Arabidopsis thaliana: one gene and its partners. The protein of the gene in region 1 purifies or fractionates together with the protein of each later gene. This does not show direct contact. Each region holds a gene or a part of one and is shown in the gene's direction. Other genes may lie near its edges.

Region 1 (5,990 bases):
GGAAGAACATGGCTTACAAAGCTAATCCGGTACCAAGTTTCTACCAAGAGGGTCCTCCACCGAAACAACCATTGAAAAAGGTATGGAACGAAACCTCACTGTCTTCACTTACCTTTTTTACGCCCACTTTGATTCATTTTATTGCTTGTCCAAGACTGAAAACATATTGAATGATGAGATTCAACATTTAGTTTTCTTTTCTTGTGATCGGGTAAGATAGGCTTATCCTCACCACAAACAGCTTATCCTACTCAACTACGTCTATGGTCACTTTAGCTTTGTTTTTATTTTAATTTTAAGCAGTAACTCACTACCACAATTGTGAATTCACTTTATTCATGGTAACAGAAGTTGCTGAATTTCTGTATTCAGATGTTGGATTTTGGTTATATGGGCTCTAGTAGTCTACGGTAGGAATGATTCCAAACGCGGAGATTTTAACTTTCTATGATTGTTTGATTTGCAGTTTCCATTGACTCGGCCTAAGTCACCAAACCTTAACCGTAGAAAGAGCTGCAGCGACACAGTTAACGCATCATATCAGGAAGTGAAGGGGAAGCATTGTGCTCGACATCGTCACAGTGTAGGTGGTTGCAAGGATGAAGTCAAAACGAACAGTGTCCCAAGGACACCAAATAGCAGCAGCAAAGATCAGATGAGAAAGTCCAAAAAGGGAACACCAAAGTCTGAAGAAGTACATGAAATGTTTAATAGTGGCCATGATGGAGAGACTGGTGAGAATGGCGTTGGTGTTGTGGAGGAGTGAAGCTTCGCGTAGTTGTAGTTTCGTTTTGACTAACTTTGGTGAATGAGAAAAACAAGAAAAATGGTGAGAAGCAACTGCAAGGAGAAGAACAGGTTTTAGAGTGAAAGAACAAGTTTAAAGTTTGTTTGTTTGTTTGTTGTCTAATGTTCTGCAGATTGATTGTTCTAAATTTGATTGCTAAAATCAGCTGCTCTATTTTCGTATGATCTTTTCTTATCTGTTTGACAATTAATGTGAAATGTATATTAAAGTTGTTGTTGTATGGATCCCAAATTCCCAATTATTATAACTAGATTAATGGTTAAGCTGAGCGACATCTATTTATATAATTTCATTGTGTTTGTATGTTTTATTTTTCTAAGTACAATAGATATAAAAGTTTATGAGAGATGTAGAGATTTTGTAGTTTTGAATTCGTTATTCTTGAACCAATTGTATATATTTTATTATTTAAACATAAATATAAATAAAAAAGATTGCTTAACCATCGGGTTAGAGAATATTTATGTAAGTATATATAAAGAAAAATACAAATATAAAGATTTATTAATATAAGATTAACAAACAATGTATGTTTTTTTTTAATTATCAAAAATATATTTTTGATATGAAATAAAAAAAACTCTCGTGATTATTTGTTACATTGTTAAAAAATTAACTCTAAAAAAATATTTCTTCTTATAATCTTTCCTCCTAATTTAGCCTTTCTTATTAGTCACACCCAATTCAAAAAAAAAGCTAAAATATTTGGTAAATGGGAAATTCTACTATGATGCATAGAATCTCGTCTGCCTTGCGTTAAAAAAAACGTTATTTGGTTATTATGATGTCTATAAAATTGATGCTTAGCTTAGGCTAGCACTAGTTTAAAAAGAAAGTTGATAATGTCATGGAGACTCAAAATTTTAATTGCAAATGTAAGAAGCTTGTGATCTGTATTTGTTGCTCGACGTGCCAACTAGTTAATTAGTAGTATAGACTACACTAATATTAATAACCAAGTCAACAGTACAATTTTTTAGTAAAGTTCATCTTTTCAACATTTTACTAATTATAGTTTATTGACTTTTGACTGAAGAAAAAACGTTAATTAATAATGAGTGTGTTACCCTTTTCCTCTCTCTCTCCATCGACCCTTAAATTTCTGCAACTTTCAAAGCTAATCCTCCTCCAGCATCTCACGGATCTACTATACCTTTTCTTCCCTTTTTCTGAATTGAATCATATTTTTTTTTAATATTATACGATCAATACAAACACTGCTACAAATGTATCATAAATACTCTCTCACTTTCTCTTATCAAGCAATCTTGTTGAAGAAATAGGATTTTGAGAATTTGATCACAGTTTTGAAGGAAGAAAGATCAAACAATGGAGTCGATAACGTTAGATATAGAGCTGTTGCAGTTACCAGAGACATCGCCAATGTCGATGAAATCTAATCAAGATTTTGTTAAGAAGCTCTTTGATCAATGGCTTGCTCTTCCTGAAACCAATCGTTTGGTAAATGTTTCTTCCATTTTTCTTGTATCATAATATGTATTTTCTTTAATGGTGACATAATGACCGCACTAGCACAAATCACTAGAATAAGATGACTATGGAGATATGAAATTAAGAAATATGTGGGGTATGAATCCGGACGGTAACACAACGAACTAGCAAAAATCACTAGGAATATATGATTCTGGAGATATGAAATTAAGAAATAAGTTTTGTAATGTCTTTAAATTTTTTGGATGATATGTGCTTTTTTTTTTTGTTGAGTCCCAATGGTGACATAACGACGACATTAGTGCAAACTCGTAGGATAATATGTGTTTTGGTATATGGAACTAAGGAATATTGGTATGAATGATTACAGGTTACATCTTTGGTAAATGATGCAAAGGCAGGAGTGGCTTTGAATGTTATGTGTGGAGGAGGCTCTTCTGGCACGAATTCAGGGTCGAATAGTCCATTAGCTTCAATGTTTCCGGCACGCAATGGGCCTCCTCTTTCTCCAAGGAATTCAACTGGTTCTCCTCGGATCGCCAGACAAAGAACTGGACTATCAAATCTTAGTTCTCCTCTCAAAGTAGTTTCTGATCATGTTAAAGAACTCATTCCTCAGGTCTAACATTTTGATCCACCTTTGATTTTATTATCGTATATAGTCTCTCTCGGCAATTTTTTGTTGTACTAAAGTGATTCTATTATGTATTCATGTAATGTATAGTTTTACTTTGAAGATGGTCGGCCACCACCAAATGATCTAAAAGAGCAGTGCATAGCTAAGATCAATAGTCTTTTCTATGGCCACGAGGATGGTTTGCAACTCCAAGGTTGGTAATTAATTTCTCTTTTAATTAGATATATCTTCATATCTCATTTATAATGACTAATTTCCTCTTTTGTTTCTCAGAATTTAAATTAGTCACTACTGAAATATGCAAAGTTCCATCATTTTTTTCCACCTCCATTTTCAAGAAAGTTGATACCAATAACACTGGTTTTGTGAAAAGGTTTGCAAATTTTTTCATGTTTAGCTACAGAGTTTGATTAGTGAAACGAAATGTATATAAAGTTCAGAGATCATAATATAAATACCTATGAATTGTTTAACACATGTTATATATTATGCTTTTGCCAACTTCTTTGCAGAGAAGACTTCATTGATTATTGGGTTAAGGGAAATATGTTAACAAAGGAGATAACAAGTCAAGTATTTACAATATTGAAGCAGCCAGATCACAACTACCTTGTCCAGGTTGGTTTTTGTAGCTGCACTATATATATATCACCCTTTTTTTGCCACATTGGTAGATGATTTAATTATTTATCCTTCTCTTTGTATATGTATCAACTATTATTTTTCTGGAATTATACTCGAGAGTTCTCAACTTCTTGAGATATTGACAGGATGATTTCAAGCCAGTGCTTCAAGAATTATTGGCAACACACCCTGGTCTTGAATTCTTGCAAGGCACACCGGAATTTCAGGATAGATATGGTTAGTGCAAGAATATGAAGTGATCTTTAGTTCGGTTTGTTTTTTTACAGTTTTGCTGAAATAGTAAGATATGTTTACATTAGATAGAACAAAAATCTAAAATGAGATGTGGTGAATGTAAAGTTGAGTATATGATCCATTGTAATGTATTTGAAAAACTTTTGGCAACAGCTGAAACTGTAATATACAGAATATATTACTACATAAATAGGAGTGGAAATGGGCATCTTACCTTGAGAGAGCTTAAGCGAGGAAATTTAGTTGACGCAATGCAGCATGCCGATGAAGAAGAGGACATCAATAAGGTGTTGAGGTTGGTGTCTTAAGATTAATTAGTAATATGAAATTGGTGCTTATTAACGGCTTTTATTAAGACTCTCTACTGTTTATTAGGTACTTCTCGTATGAACATTTCTATGTCATATACTGCAAGTTCTGGGAGTTGGATACAGATCATGATTTCTTAATCGACAAAGAGAATCTCATCCGATATAGTAACCATGCGCTCACCTATAGGATTGTCGATCGAATCTTTTCACAGGTTAGCTACTCCACATCTGCATTTCTTATTTTTAAAAAACTTTTTTCTACTAGCTGCCGAATGTCTTTGTCACTCGGTCTACTTAATAGGTACCGAGGAAGTTTACTAGTAAAACCGAAGGAAAGATGGGTTATGAGGATTTTGTTTACTTCATATTGGCTGAAGAAGACAAGTCATCAGAACCTAGTCTTGAGTATTGGTGAGAATGGTGAATGTTTTCATACATATAGAGTCTTTGTGTCGGTGTTATTTGGTAAGAGCTATATTCTGTTATTAATGTTTGATGATATAGGTTCAAGTGCATTGATTTGGATGCAAATGGAGTTTTGACGCGGAACGAGCTGCAATTCTTTTACGAGGAGCAGCTACATAGAATGGAATGCATGGCGCAAGAGGCGGTGTTGTTTGAGGATATTTTGTGCCAATTATTCGACATGGTCAAACCAGAGGACGAAGGGTTCATTTGTCTAAATGATTTGAAGGGTTCTAAACTTTCTGGAAATGTCTTCAACATACTTTTTAACCTCAACAAGTTTATGGCGTTTGAAACGCGTGATCCCTTCCTCATCCGCCAGGTATCACAAAATATAGTAAATACCTTAAAGCTAGCTATACATACTTATAGAGATATTCATTTCTCAATGATTGATTGCTGATACATAGGAGCGCGCAAATCCGACATGGACAGAGTGGGATCGTTTTGCTCATAGAGAATATATTAGGCTATCAATGGAAGAAGATGTCGAAGATGCTTCTAATGGAAGTGCTGAAGCATGGGACGACTCACTTGAGGTCCCCTTTTGAGAATTTTATGGTAAGCTCTCACTATAAAAAGCGGACCAATAATGAGTAATATAATCAAAAAAAAAAAGGAAGCTAGGGTATGGGGCCCTTGATTTTCGGATAACATTATTTGGTTTATTAATTTGTTCGGTTTATGATATATAAGGGTGAATGGAAACTAAACACCATTCGGATTTGTTTGATACAGTTTTGAACTTTGATTTGGATTTTATATAAAAAACATATGAATCTAGGATCTCTAAAGAATCAGTAAAATGAAATCAAATTAGTTTACTTTTCAGAATTGTATTTTAATACTTACTCGGATCGGTTCGGTTTCAGATAAAGATCAGTTAAACAAACATAATGTCCTCATTGTATATATGTTGTTACAATGTTTTCACGAGTTTAGTTGTCAATGGAATGCAAACACCATCTCTCTCATCAAAACATTTAATTTTAAAAAGTTTTTCAATATTGCAACCATTGCCGGATGCGCCGTTTGGTTCCTACATGCAAGCCATTTCGCAACTTGGATAATAGATATAAACACGTCCGAACTAATCGTGGCCAGTATGATTTTCTATTATTATCTTTCAAAATTCGTATTTAGTATTTTACTGGTCCCAATTGTATCTCTAATGATTTCCTAATCTCTACAATAGTTTATAGTTGTTTTTTTTCTCATAGTTGATAGTAGAGTTTTTTTTTTTAATACAAAATACCGAGAAAAAAACAGTAATTGTATACTTAATAACTCTTTAAATTTAGATTCATATTAAAAATTAAATTAAGTGCTATCGAAACTAAGTTTTTATAGATATTTTGGTAAAAAACAACTTAGTGGCTTATATTTCGAGTTGAATTCTTGTTTCCAAAGATTTGTGGTAACTACGGTGTAAAAGAAT
Region 2 (5,862 bases), on another chromosome or scaffold:
GCGAGAGTCAATTCACTCTTTAAACAAACTAGGATCTCTCTCGATTTAAAGAAAAAGATATTGCAAGAGCTGTACCTGGAAATCAACAAATGCAACAGGAGTCCCATATGTACCCTGAATCTTCAGCTTCAAGAATCCACGGCATCTGAGAGGAAAGAGAGTGAAAACTATCTCTAGTGGTTACAGTTTTGCGTGGAGAATAGAGTATTCTTACCTCGAGAAAACTTGAATTAGCTCAGCTTCGGTGCAATTTGGTCCCATATTCGCTATGAAAAGTGTTGGACAAGGATCTGCCGCCTTACTCTGTCAAAGGAACAAAGATTGTCATGTTCACTGGTAAGAATAGTTTACCTCACTGTTTTTCGTCCAGACAGAAAACAATACTCATATGAAGTATAAAATAGGCAGAAGCTTACAGGTTTTCTAGAAGTCGGTGCCCTCCCAGCAACATTAGCAATTCCTTGACTGAACGAGCAAAAAGAATTTAATGAGACCCTGAGTTTCGTGAGCTAATAGCTAAGAAAGAACAAGCACTCTCGTAACCAGTATCTAGACATGTGAGCTAGGACTAGTTCAGCTAATCCTTAAGTAGGTCAGATTTTCAAGGCAGAGGTACAAGAAAAGAGTGTGCAACAAAGAAACAGAATCTAAGCATTCACAAGGAACTAGAAATGTGCTCAAGTAGTGCAGATGACCTTTGTGCAGGTGAATAACCAATTGTGTTGTAAGCAGAACTACTCATTCCAGGAGTTTGAAAGCTGCCAAAACCTGCTAGTGCCCAAACGTGCAAGAATGTGCAGTGTGAGTTTTCAGAAACGTGAAACCATGTTGACGGCACTTAAAGCCCAAGTGTGAAATCTTAAACCAAAAAGAGCTAGCATGCATGAGCGTGATGGTCATGAAGATTGGAAGTTTGAAAATATATATACTACACAAACATTCAGTTACAAGAAACATAAAATACAGAAGGTTACAAGAAGCCTCAAGATGAAGGTGTGTGCCAATGATCTTACCAGATTCAGTAGTAGTGTTCCAAGACTTGAGTTTTTTCAAGCTTTCCCAACCATCATCTACCATATCACAAAAATCACAAAATAAAAATTAACACAACAATAGCAAAGGTCAAATTTTTATTGAGCTACCGAACCGAAAGAATCCTACTACTTGCCTGTTCTTGAACGCTTAGATTTGGGATTTGATTTGGCAAGGTCAATGTGAAGAGTAGAATGCTTTTCAAGATCAAACACCATTCCCTGAAAGGTTCAGAAATAAAATTCAGAAAGTTTCTTAATCTAGGCAAATGACAAAGCTTATTCACTTACGCATACAAATCCCAACCGAATGATTTCAATTTACTAGATTGAATTAAGAACAACCATAAAGATACCAAATTTACTTAATGCTTTGTAAGTAGATACATCGGCGACACATTGCAAGAGCAAGTTTGAAGAAATTTGTACTCACATTGAGAGCATGCATCACCGCTACAGCTGATTGCAGATCCGAGAACACAGCAAATGCGAAGGGCTACCAAACAAATAAAGTAAGATTCTCAGTCTCTTCGCCGGGAAACATCATTACCCAAATCACAAATCCGGAGAGATAGAAAATGATTACCTTAGCTCCATCTGAGCTCCGGAGATGCGAAGTCTCATATCCTGGGAACTCACGAAAGAGATTGTAGATCTCCCGAGGCTTGACATCTTCAGGAAGTCCGGCGACGAAAAGCGTCCTAACCTCATCGCGAGCTCCAATTGAGACATGGGTAGGCAAATAGACGGAATGAGCTGAAGTAATTGGAATCGGAGAAACTCCCGGCGGCGGAGGAGGAACCATCGCCGGTAAATTATAGTGAGAATAGTAAGCTTCCAAATCATCCATTGACAACGACTTAATCTCGTGGCCGGTGAAAGTCGCAGTTTACAACGGAGAAGAAACTAATCGCGTTACTTAATGGGCCGTTTAAAGCCCATTTAAATATCGGCCTTTTTGACCCATTGTTCATCACCAGGCGTAGGATAATAGCATGTGGTTGCACACACTGTAACATAACACTCTCTCTCTTTTTTTCTTCTTCTTGATGACAATTGTTCCTATGTTCAAAGATCTGCAACTTCATTCATAACAGTTCTTTTTCTCTCGTTCTCTGGTTTAAAGCATAATGACGGAAGAGCTCATCGACCAATCACCACCACCTGACCCAGACCCGATTCAAAATTCGAATTTAATAATCCACCCAAGACGTGTTCCTTTCGAGCACGGCCTTCTTCCGATCCAGAAGCTCGTTTTTACCGACCCGATTCAAACTCTAGCTCCGATCAAGCAAAAGTTAGCTTCTTTGGCGACGAATCATCGCGTCGGATCTGCTGCCATTTCCGATGCACTCTCGATCTCCGATGACCATGCGCGCCTCGTTCTCGAAACTCTCTCTTCGGTGCTCCATTGCGAGACTGACCCATTGGTTTTGGCCAAACCTGAGGAAGTTGATTCCGTGGGAGCTGATTTGAGGGATCTGATATTGTTTCTCTACATTCAATCGTATAAGAAGTTATTGCCTAGGACGCATAAAGACTCTGCTTCTGTGGCTGATGTTTGGCCTTCGACTTCTGCTTTTGATGGATACTTGTCGGCATTATCTCCAATTCAGGCAAGCTTTTTTATTCTCTTAATCATGTAATGTGGCTCAAAACGTTATCTTGTGATCTATTTGGTTTAAAAAATTTCATTTTGCATTGGATTTTACTATAATTTTGCAATGCAAGTTAAATAATATTACGTTATCATTCAGAAACATATGAAAAGGATTGTCTGATATTTGAAATATTTTACCGATAATTGTTCTCATTACTGTTTCTATCATATGGGTAGAGACATCCTTGTAGCTGTTGAGTTTAAGTTAAATTTCCTTTCATCATCTTGCAGCTTGTTCGTAGCAACAGCCGTCGGTTTATGCCATCACCGACAGATGAAGAAGCTCATCAATTATCGTATCTGCAAAAGCACATTGCAAATATTATTTCTCTCCTTGCAGAGCCTGTGGAGGGACAAGGAGATGATTCTTTGGTATGTGCTAAACTTTTTTTATGTTTGTATCAGATGGATAGAAAATTTTATGTTGTGATGCAATATTATGGGAAATGGAAAAGAACGAATATCTCATGCTAGATGGTCCGAATCTCCTCCTCAGGTCCTGTCTATGGAGAGTTTGGAGCACATTGGGTTTCTTGTTCATTATGGTGATAAGGGATTTGATGTACCTTCTTTAAGCCAAGCTACTCCTTTTTTTGCGAATTCTGATCCTGATATGCCCGCTGTCCCCGTTCCTGCTTCCCAAGTGAATGATTGGCTTCTCAAAGACATAGCTTCCGCCTTAGAAAGCATTTCTAACAGAATCTCTGGGAAAGAAAATGGGGCATCTAATGCCTCTGATCAGAATGCTGCAATGGCTGATTCTAGTGTAGCTCTTAATAAAGTTTCATCTAACGACAGAGGTCCATGTATTATTGAGGGAGTCTCTAAGACCTCACTTTTCAAGCAGGCTTCTGATCTTAAGGGTAGATCAGTGAAGGTCCGTATTGAACAACTAATTTGCATTTTAAACAGCAATCCCTCATTTAGTTTCGTTTACTCATGTATGCACGTCAATTGCATGTTTTGTGTATTCTGCAGGTTGCCAATTGCCATGATTCTGTTATTTATCTGTTAGCGCCATTGAGATATGCAACTGTGTATGGGTGTTCTGATTCTACTATCGTTCTGGGAGCTGCTGGCAAGGTACGGCAAATATACTCCTTTCTGTTTTAGTCTTTGTTAGCGAGGTTCAGGTTAGAATGCAGTGATAATATTTTATGTTCTTTGCAGGCAGTAAAAGTTGAGCATTGTGAGAGAGTTCATGTGATTGTAGCTACCAAACGAATTTGCATCGCCAATTGCCGTGAATGTGTGTTCTTTTTGGGAGTCAATCAGCGACCTCTTATAGTTGGTGATAACCACAAACTACAGGTGATATGTCTATTTAAGATTGAGCTGCATACATAACTCTTCTTTCCCGCCCTGATATTCAGCTGAAATTAATAAATAGACTACAGTTTTTCTTTTAACTCTAGGCTAAATCTTTCCTGTGTTAATATCCTGGTATAGTCATGATCGTATTAATGGTTCCTGGTGTTTGGAAAATTGAGCATGCTGTTAAAGTCACTTCTTCAACTGAGTTAAGTGGAAACATCTTCTGATGTGTTGTCTATAACTGTTGGCATCAATGTGACTGTTATCTGTTCCAGGTTGCTCCATATAATACATTTTACTCACACTTGGAGGAGCACATAACCGAGGTAGGAATTCAGCCAACTATCAACAAATGGAACGAATCCTTGGCGCTCGGAGCAATTGATCCGCATGACTCACTATCACATCCGACTGGTGCCTCTGATAAACAAGCTGAACCGGCTTCTTGTGTGGACCCTGACCAGTTCACTACCTTTTTGGTTAGATTCCCCTTTTTGTTAGTTTAATTTTCCTCTAGTAACTAGTGATATTGGTTATTAAGATTGTGTTCGTGGGTTAATTTCTCACATCAATGTCTCTGGTTCAGATCCCAAACTGGTTTGCGGGTGAGGCGATTGGTTCCACGAAAGACAATCCATTTCCATTGCCAGATGCATATAAGGCAGTGCAGCAGACAAACGTATGTTTTTTATTTGCTTTCCGCATAAAATTGCTCGTTTCTTTTTCATCCATACTTCAGCATCTGATCCCTTAACTGTGTTTTGGTTTTGAGCAGCTTAAGAACTTAGAGGAAACAAGACAATCCTTGAGAGAAACACCTCTCGAAGAAAACCGAAAACGAGAACTCACTACAGCGTTCCACATGTATTTCAAAGACTGGCTATACGGTAATCAAATAAAATCCCCATTCTAGTTCATTTACTCCTTTGGCCAGCCAATGATCTATATGTATCTCTTTCTTTTGGTGACAGCGACGGGAAATATTCGGCAACTTTACTGCCTACAAGGCGATTAAGACCAATGGCGATTGAAAATGTCAGAGTCACTGTAGAGTTCTCTTGATCCGTTCCTTCTCAGAGATTTGCTAGCACGTTTGACATCAGAATTTAACTGCACAGCACGCTCTCTAACTCCTAAAGCTCTGTTTTTTTGTGTGTAGGTTTCTCTCTGCTTTTATCGTATTTATTAGTCTTAAATATCCACGTTTTTGTCCTTGAAAAACATTAAGCCATCTTGTCTTGTTGTTGATTTCTTTCAATTGTTATAACAACTTTTCTCAATACCATATATATAAATCTTTTAGTAACTACTACTTGGGAATTTTAAATATTTTGAATTTTCTCTTAAGCATCACATTCAAAACAGGCAGAAAATGTGAAAACATGTCTGCCTCAATTGTTTTCTTTGTCTTGTCTTAGCTTGTTGGAGGAAAGAGCTTCTCTGCTTGGTCCGGGAAGAACTGTATGAACAAATAAGCACCTGCAAGTTCAACAAAGTCTTACTCATAACCAAAGGAAAGACCAAACAACATTCTCTATATTCTTCAGCTCTATGTAAATTAAACTTACAGACGAGTACTGTCCCTAAGACTGCTGAGATCTTGCCTTGAATTGTGATAAGCCCTGCTTTGCCTGCATTCTGCAACTCAGTGGAACCGACGGATTCAAATGTCCCTAAAGTCGCAACAACAGTAAATCCGATTCATTATCCTTCTCAAACCAAACTATCTCCAAAACCCCTCAAGAAATGATCTTAGATGAAACCAAATGGGATCAAACCTGGTTTTACAGATTGTAGCCCTGATGTTACACAAGCAATGTTTTCGTAACCTGCTTCCTCCAATCTACTAGCTGCAGC
Region 3 (6,029 bases), on another chromosome or scaffold:
TCGCTTTACTTCGAAAATTTCCAGATATCCGGAATTTCGAATATCCGGAATTTTTTGTGATATTTGCGGATATCCGCTTTGATACATTTAAATATTAAAAAAATATGTATACTATATAACTATATCATATATTCAAAAAATTTATCCGTGCGTTCCTTAATTGGTGTCTCCGTGTGCTTTTAAAATAAGTTCTAAATACCAAACATAACCGTTGTTGGTATCACCGGTCAACAAAATATTATCAAACTAATTCCAAAACTAAAACCCGATAGTTTTTTGATGCCATTGATCAAAACATAACATAAAAAAAAATGATCAAACAAACATCTTAACATAAAAACATAAAATGACAACAATACACAAACTATTTATGATATCTATATATAGATATACTATATTTTCTAATATATATAAAAAGATACGGATCGAAGCGGATATTCGATTTTTTAAAAAACAATATTTATTATTTGATTCGATTTTTACGAATACTATATTTTTCTATTTGCTTTGCTCCAAAATCTTACGAATATTCGGATTTTTCGAATCAAATTAAATCAAATACCGAATCGAAACGGATCAAATCAAATCAAATCAGAATATTGAGCTAGCTGAATGAATGAGATAACCTAAGAATCCAAAAGTTGATAGTGTTCCCTTTCCGAATTCCAATAGTAGCTTGATAACATTTATTTAACGGCGATAAATTCAACCGTTAGTTTGATTACCAATCAAATAATTGCTTGCAATAGACGGATGAAACGAGTGGTAAGAATAGGTGATTGAAACAAACGGTTAAAAGCTTAAACAAAATAGGTGAGTTTGCAACCTCTCTTGTTCACCATTGGAATATTTTAGTTATTTAACGTTTCTTAGATTTTTAAAACTGTAATGTATTTGAATTATTTACTAAAGAGTTTTGTTTTTCTTTGTTTTTTAAATATTTTTAGTTATTTATTAAATATTTTAATTTAGTTTTTTTTTTTTACTGTTTAACCGTTTGTTACTAATCATAACTATTATTTAACGGTTCATTTTAAATTATTTATCATTTTTTCTTTTAATATATTTTCTAACCGTTTTTTTTTATCAGTCTTTTTTGTAAGTGTTAAATAAAATAACCGCCTTATTTAAACGATATTACCAATTGGTTTAATTTTAGGTTGTTCATCTTTTCTAACCGTTTTTTTCTACCCGCCTTTTTCTGTAACTGCTAAAAAACATAACCGTCTCATTTAAACGATGTTTACCCATTGCAAACCATTTTCCTTAAACAAGCGGACAATATTTAAATTGCAATGAAAGCGAGTTATGAGTTCTTTTGGCCTAAACTTCCCAATTTTATCTCTCTTTTTCCCACTAATCTTCTAACAATTTTAATTAACAGTGACAACTTACAAGTACTTAGGTAACCAAGTATATTTCCCTATTGTAAAACCTAATTATGAGTTGTGATGATCACCTTTTCTCCTTTTGACGAACGCTTAGGACCTAACTTATTGCAACAATGGCCTAACTAAAACTTAAATGCGATTTGCATTCAATTCTCAAATGGGCCTCTTTAGTTAACATGTTATCTCCGTTCATCTGACGTGTCATAGCTCAGATCAAAGGTTAATCTACTCGTAAATCCAACGACCAAAGAAACGAAGCGTACGTTACTAACATACACGTGCACGCACTGTAACCATCTCTCTCTCTGCTCTTCTCCTTCAATGAAATGATTCGTCACCCAAAGAAAGATCTGCAACTTCACCACCGGACCAGTCTCTCTCTATCTCTTCTGTCTCTCTACCTCGCGCGACGAATCAATCATGACTGAAGAACAAGACCTCATCGACCAATCACCACCACCTTCAGCACCCGACCCTGAACCAAACTCGAGCACGAATCCGAATTCAGTAATCCATCCAAGGCGTGTGTCTTTCGAGCACGGACTCCTCCCGATCCAGAAACTCGTTTTCACCGACCCGATCCAAACCTTAGCCCCTGTCAAGCAGAAGCTAGCCGATGCGGCTTCGAATAACCGCGTTGGATCGGCTGCAATCGCCGACGTTCTCCAGATCTCCGGCGACCATGCGCGTCTCGTTCTCGAGACTCTCGGTTCGGTGCTTCATTCCGAGTCTGACCCTCTGGTTCGGGCGAAACCTGAGGAAGTTGATTCCGTCGGAGCTGATTTGCGGGATCTTATTTTGTTCCTGTACATTCAATCGTATAAGAAGTTGCTTCCTAGGACGCATAAGGACTCCGCAGCGGTGGCTGATGTTTGGCCATCGACTTCAGCTTTTGATGGATACTTGTCTGCGTTATCGCCAATTCAGGCAAGTTTCTTACTTTTTTTGGCCCTCTTATTATAATGTGCCTCAATCCCAGCGCCTGCGATTTGTTTGGTATTGAAATGGAACTGTTGTACTCGAGTATGGAATTGGAACGTGGTAGAGAATAACTTATTTCCATTTCGCATTGTATTTAACTAAAATTTGCAATGCAAGTTTAAGTTTTCTGAGTCATTTGATTTACCTGAAACTTAGAGTTAAGCAATGTCGGAAATTTGGGTGATTAATTGAATTGATGGTGGCTATAGTTTCGTAACAATTCTCAATGAGGAAGATGCTTACTTGTATTTAATTGCCAGTCCCCTTTCTCTGATGACTCTGGGGCAATGGTAATTGGTTAGTTTACTAACTAAAGTCAAACAGTCGCCAGCTTGCTTTGTTTTGTGGTTCGGAATCTGATTCTTTTTCCGTTGTACCTTATTTTGTTTGGTCCTTTCACGTGGTTTATTTGGTGATAATGCTTGGTGTGTTCTTGAATTTTGACTCGGGTCTCCAGTCCTGTAATATTCTGTTTCCTGTGTGGTATGGATGTTCTATTGAGTCTTTTAGAAAACAGTCATATAATCTTAAGCTTTTCAGTGTTTTCTACAGTCACTGTTCTTTGGTATTCTATCGTTTCTCATCACATGGGTCGAACCAACTTTATTGGAGCTAAAATTGTTATTTATATCTCCTTTTCATCATTTCTGCAGCTTGTTCGCAGCAACAGCCGTCGATTTATGCCATCACAGGCAGATGATGAAGCTCATCAGTTGTCATATCTGCAAAAACATTTAGCAAACATCATTTCTCTCCTTGCAGAGCCTGTGGAGGGAGAAGGAGATGAATCATTGGTAAGTTCTAATCTTTCTTATATTCTCAGGGGGTGTCACTGTTCTAAGCTACAAGAATATAAAATTCTGATGTTGGAATAAGAATTTTTTAGGAAATGAAAGAGAACACAAGTTAATTTTTTTTTTCTTGTCCAATATCGTTCAGGTTTTCTCTATGGAGGCGTTCGAGCATCTGCGTTTTCTTGTTCAGTTTGGTGATAAGGGATCTGATGTATCTCCATTGAGCCAAGCTACTCCTTTTTTTGCAAATTCTGATCCGGATATGCCCGCTGTTCCAGTCCCCGCTTCCCAAGTGCATGACTGGCTTCTGCAAAACATAGCTTCCGCTTTAGAAAGCATTACTGAGAGAATTTCTGGAAAAGAGAACGGACCTTCTAACGATCAAGATGATGCGATGTCAGATGTTTGTGCTGCTCCGAACAAGGTTGCACCTAGTACTAGAGGCCCGTGTTTAATCGAGGGAGTCTCCAAGACTTCACTTGTTAAGCAAGCCTCCGATCTAAGGGGTAGATCTGTGAAGGTCTGACTGTTCCTTGTTCCGTTTTTCTTCCAGTCATGGAATCTCTGTGCAAGCATGTCAACTCCTTGTTTTGTGTATTTTTCAGGTTGTCAATTGCCATGATTCTGTAATTTATCTTTTAGCACCATTGCGATATGCAACTGTGCACGGATGTTCTGATACTACTATAGTTTTGGGAGCTGTTGGCAAGGTATGGAAACAATGCTTCTTCCTTCTTTATCTTTTCTGAAGATAGTCAAAGCAACATTTAACAAGTTATAATATCTGCCAACTTTTATTAAAAGATGTATCAAACATAATTCCGTATTTATTTCTGCAGGCAATAAAAGTTGAGCACTGTGAAAGAGTTCATGTGATTGTAGCTGCCAAACGAGTGTGCATTGCCAATTGTCGTGAATGTGTATTCTTCTTGGGAGTCAATCAGCGGCCACTTATTGTTGGTGATAACCACAAACTGCAGGTGAAGCTTCTCTTTAAGATTGTGGTTTAATTTACAAGTTTTATGTCATGTTGCTCTTATTTACCTTTCTGATATTAAGGTAAAAAAAATTGAGTGGCTAGACTTTTTACTAGATTTAGTTTGGTTAGTTTGGTTAATAAGCCGTTTCGGACACGTCATCAAGTCTAGTGGAAACAAACTTGGAGGGGTGGCTAGACTGCTGCTAGATACGTTTAGTCAAATGTTTTCCTCAAGAAGGTTTTACTGGTTTTTAAGAGTGCGGGCATTGTCAGATATTGCTTCTAGTGATTATGGGCTTCTATTTTTAAAGTGCTGGCATCAATTTGACTTTGTTTCAGGTCGCTCCATATAATACATTTTACTCTCATTTGGAAGAGCACATGAGGGAGGTAGGGCTTGAGCCAACGATCAACAAATGGGACAAACCATTGGCCCTGGGAGCTGTGGATCCACATGACTCCCTGTCACATCCTGCCGGTGTTGCTGATGCACAGGCTGAATCAGCTGCTTCTGTAGACCCTGACCAGTTCGTAAACTTTTTGGTACATTTTCTATTTGGGTCTAACATTTACGTCAATAATTGGTGAATGCTTTTCAGTGTCATGAAGCATCTAATGACGTGTTTTTCGGTGGTATCAATGACAATGGCACAGATCCCAAACTGGTTTAGCGGCGCGGAGCTTGGTTCGACGAAAGACAATCCATTTCCATTGCCAGATGCTTATATGGCAGCTCAGCAGAGAAACGTATGTTTTAAAGTTATACTTAACCAGATAAACAAATGCATTTGTTATTTTTGTCCATATCTGATCTTGTATCTGCAATTTTTTTTGTCATCAGCTTAAGAACTTTGAAGAAACAAGACGATCGTTAAAAGAGGCGCCTCTAGAAGAAAACCGGAAACGAGAGCTATCAAGTGCACTCCATGTTTATTTCAAAGACTGGCTTTACGGTAAGAAAACTTTCTCTGAATCGATCCCTACTTTACTTTATTGATATGCATCATTCATTAGGTTTTGACTTAGTCTATGTTTTTGTTGCGACAGCATCTGGAAATATAAGGCAACTCTACTGCCTACAAGGTGACTAATAAGAATAATAGACCAAGCGGAAAGTGTCTTGTTCATGTAGAGCTCCTTCGATCATATTTGGCATATTGCTAGTGAAGAAACCCCACCCCAAGACCAAAAGAAAAAAGAAAAAAGAGAAATCAGCCTGATTCAGTGATTTGTAGTTTGGAACCAATACTTCACAACGTAACTTATCTGCACAGAAATACTCTCTTAAAGCTTTCGTTTAGATTATTGTTTTCTTGATTTCTGCTTTTCTTTCCTTGACATTTCAATCCATCGTTTTTGTTCCCTTCTCTATTGAAAATCTCATCTTCAAATAGAGCATGATGACTTGAATTGTTATAAGTTATAACTTGTAAGCAAAACTGTTTTGATAGATAGTCTTGTCTTGGTCAAATAGATTTAAGTGGACGCAAGAGTTAGGCTACTACCATGGTAGGTGCAAATTTCTGAAGAAGTTTTAGAGCTCCAAAATTTCTCATATTTGCAGAATCTCATATTCGTAGAAACATCCAAACAATGCAACATAACATGAACATCTCAAGATACAAAAACAGAAGGACATGGGATGGAACAGAGATATCCATGAGCGCAGGATCCAGCTAATAATGAGTTCTTGCTACTTTAGTCATTGTAATGTGTGCTCCATTGAAGAAATCTCTCTTAGCTCTAAAGTTCTGCACCAACTGTTCAACACCAATGAACACCTCCAATGGCAGCAAAAGTCAGCCCGTGGCTTCCCATCATCTTCAACGTTCTGATGAGTCCTGGAAGAGCAACGTTTCTTTCAATACGAGGGACGTCTTTCCA

The links.
Region 2: the proteins of AT1G54450 (region 1) and AT2G42230 fractionate together in Arabidopsis thaliana (co-fractionation; one large-scale study listed by BioGRID). This does not show direct contact.
Region 3: the proteins of AT1G54450 (region 1) and AT3G57890 fractionate together in Arabidopsis thaliana (co-fractionation; one large-scale study listed by BioGRID). This does not show direct contact.

Annotation. Positions count from the first base shown.
Region 1 is NC_003070.9:20,335,683-20,341,672, reverse strand, and holds AT1G54450 (Calcium-binding EF-hand family protein), read left to right. Parts: upstream 1-1,903; 5' UTR 1,904-2,137; coding exon 2,138-2,269; intron 2,270-2,630; coding exon 2,631-2,879; intron 2,880-2,984; coding exon 2,985-3,090; intron 3,091-3,170; coding exon 3,171-3,270; intron 3,271-3,409; coding exon 3,410-3,515; intron 3,516-3,667; coding exon 3,668-3,758; intron 3,759-3,929; coding exon 3,930-4,071; intron 4,072-4,151; coding exon 4,152-4,299; intron 4,300-4,388; coding exon 4,389-4,498; intron 4,499-4,591; coding exon 4,592-4,874; intron 4,875-4,962; coding exon 4,963-5,103; 3' UTR 5,104-5,470; downstream 5,471-5,990. Other genes in the region: AT1G54460 (TPX2 (targeting protein for Xklp2) protein family), read left to right, coding at 1-80, 467-766. UniProt on the Arabidopsis thaliana protein: Probable regulatory subunit of type 2A protein phosphatase.
Region 2 is NC_003071.7:17,592,863-17,598,724, reverse strand, and holds AT2G42230 (C-CAP/cofactor C-like domain-containing protein), read left to right. Parts: upstream 1-2,059; 5' UTR 2,060-2,161; coding exon 2,162-2,647; exon of another isoform or gene 2,648-2,827; intron 2,828-2,922; coding exon 2,923-3,063; intron 3,064-3,187; coding exon 3,188-3,568; intron 3,569-3,669; coding exon 3,670-3,774; intron 3,775-3,861; coding exon 3,862-4,002; intron 4,003-4,140; coding exon of another isoform or gene 4,141-4,146; intron 4,147-4,280; coding exon 4,281-4,484; intron 4,485-4,591; coding exon 4,592-4,684; intron 4,685-4,780; coding exon 4,781-4,892; intron 4,893-4,976; coding exon 4,977-5,020; 3' UTR 5,021-5,314; downstream 5,315-5,862. Other genes in the region: AT2G42240 (RNA-binding (RRM/RBD/RNP motifs) family protein), read right to left, coding at 76-145, 215-303, 417-465, 696-768, 1,014-1,070, 1,169-1,253, 1,465-1,527, 1,618-1,881; AT2G42220 (Rhodanese/Cell cycle control phosphatase superfamily protein), read right to left, coding at 5,420-5,484, 5,574-5,678, 5,784-5,862.
Region 3 is NC_003074.8:21,436,460-21,442,488, forward strand, and holds AT3G57890 (Tubulin binding cofactor C domain-containing protein), read left to right. Parts: upstream 1-1,624; 5' UTR 1,625-1,811; coding exon 1,812-2,318; intron 2,319-2,829; coding exon 2,830-2,937; intron 2,938-3,025; coding exon 3,026-3,166; intron 3,167-3,311; coding exon 3,312-3,686; intron 3,687-3,771; coding exon 3,772-3,876; intron 3,877-4,005; coding exon 4,006-4,146; intron 4,147-4,484; coding exon 4,485-4,688; intron 4,689-4,799; coding exon 4,800-4,892; intron 4,893-4,986; coding exon 4,987-5,098; intron 5,099-5,192; coding exon 5,193-5,236; 3' UTR 5,237-5,429; downstream 5,430-6,029. Other genes in the region: AT3G57900 (import inner membrane translocase subunit Tim17/Tim22/Tim23 family protein), read right to left, coding at 5,822-5,926, 6,014-6,029.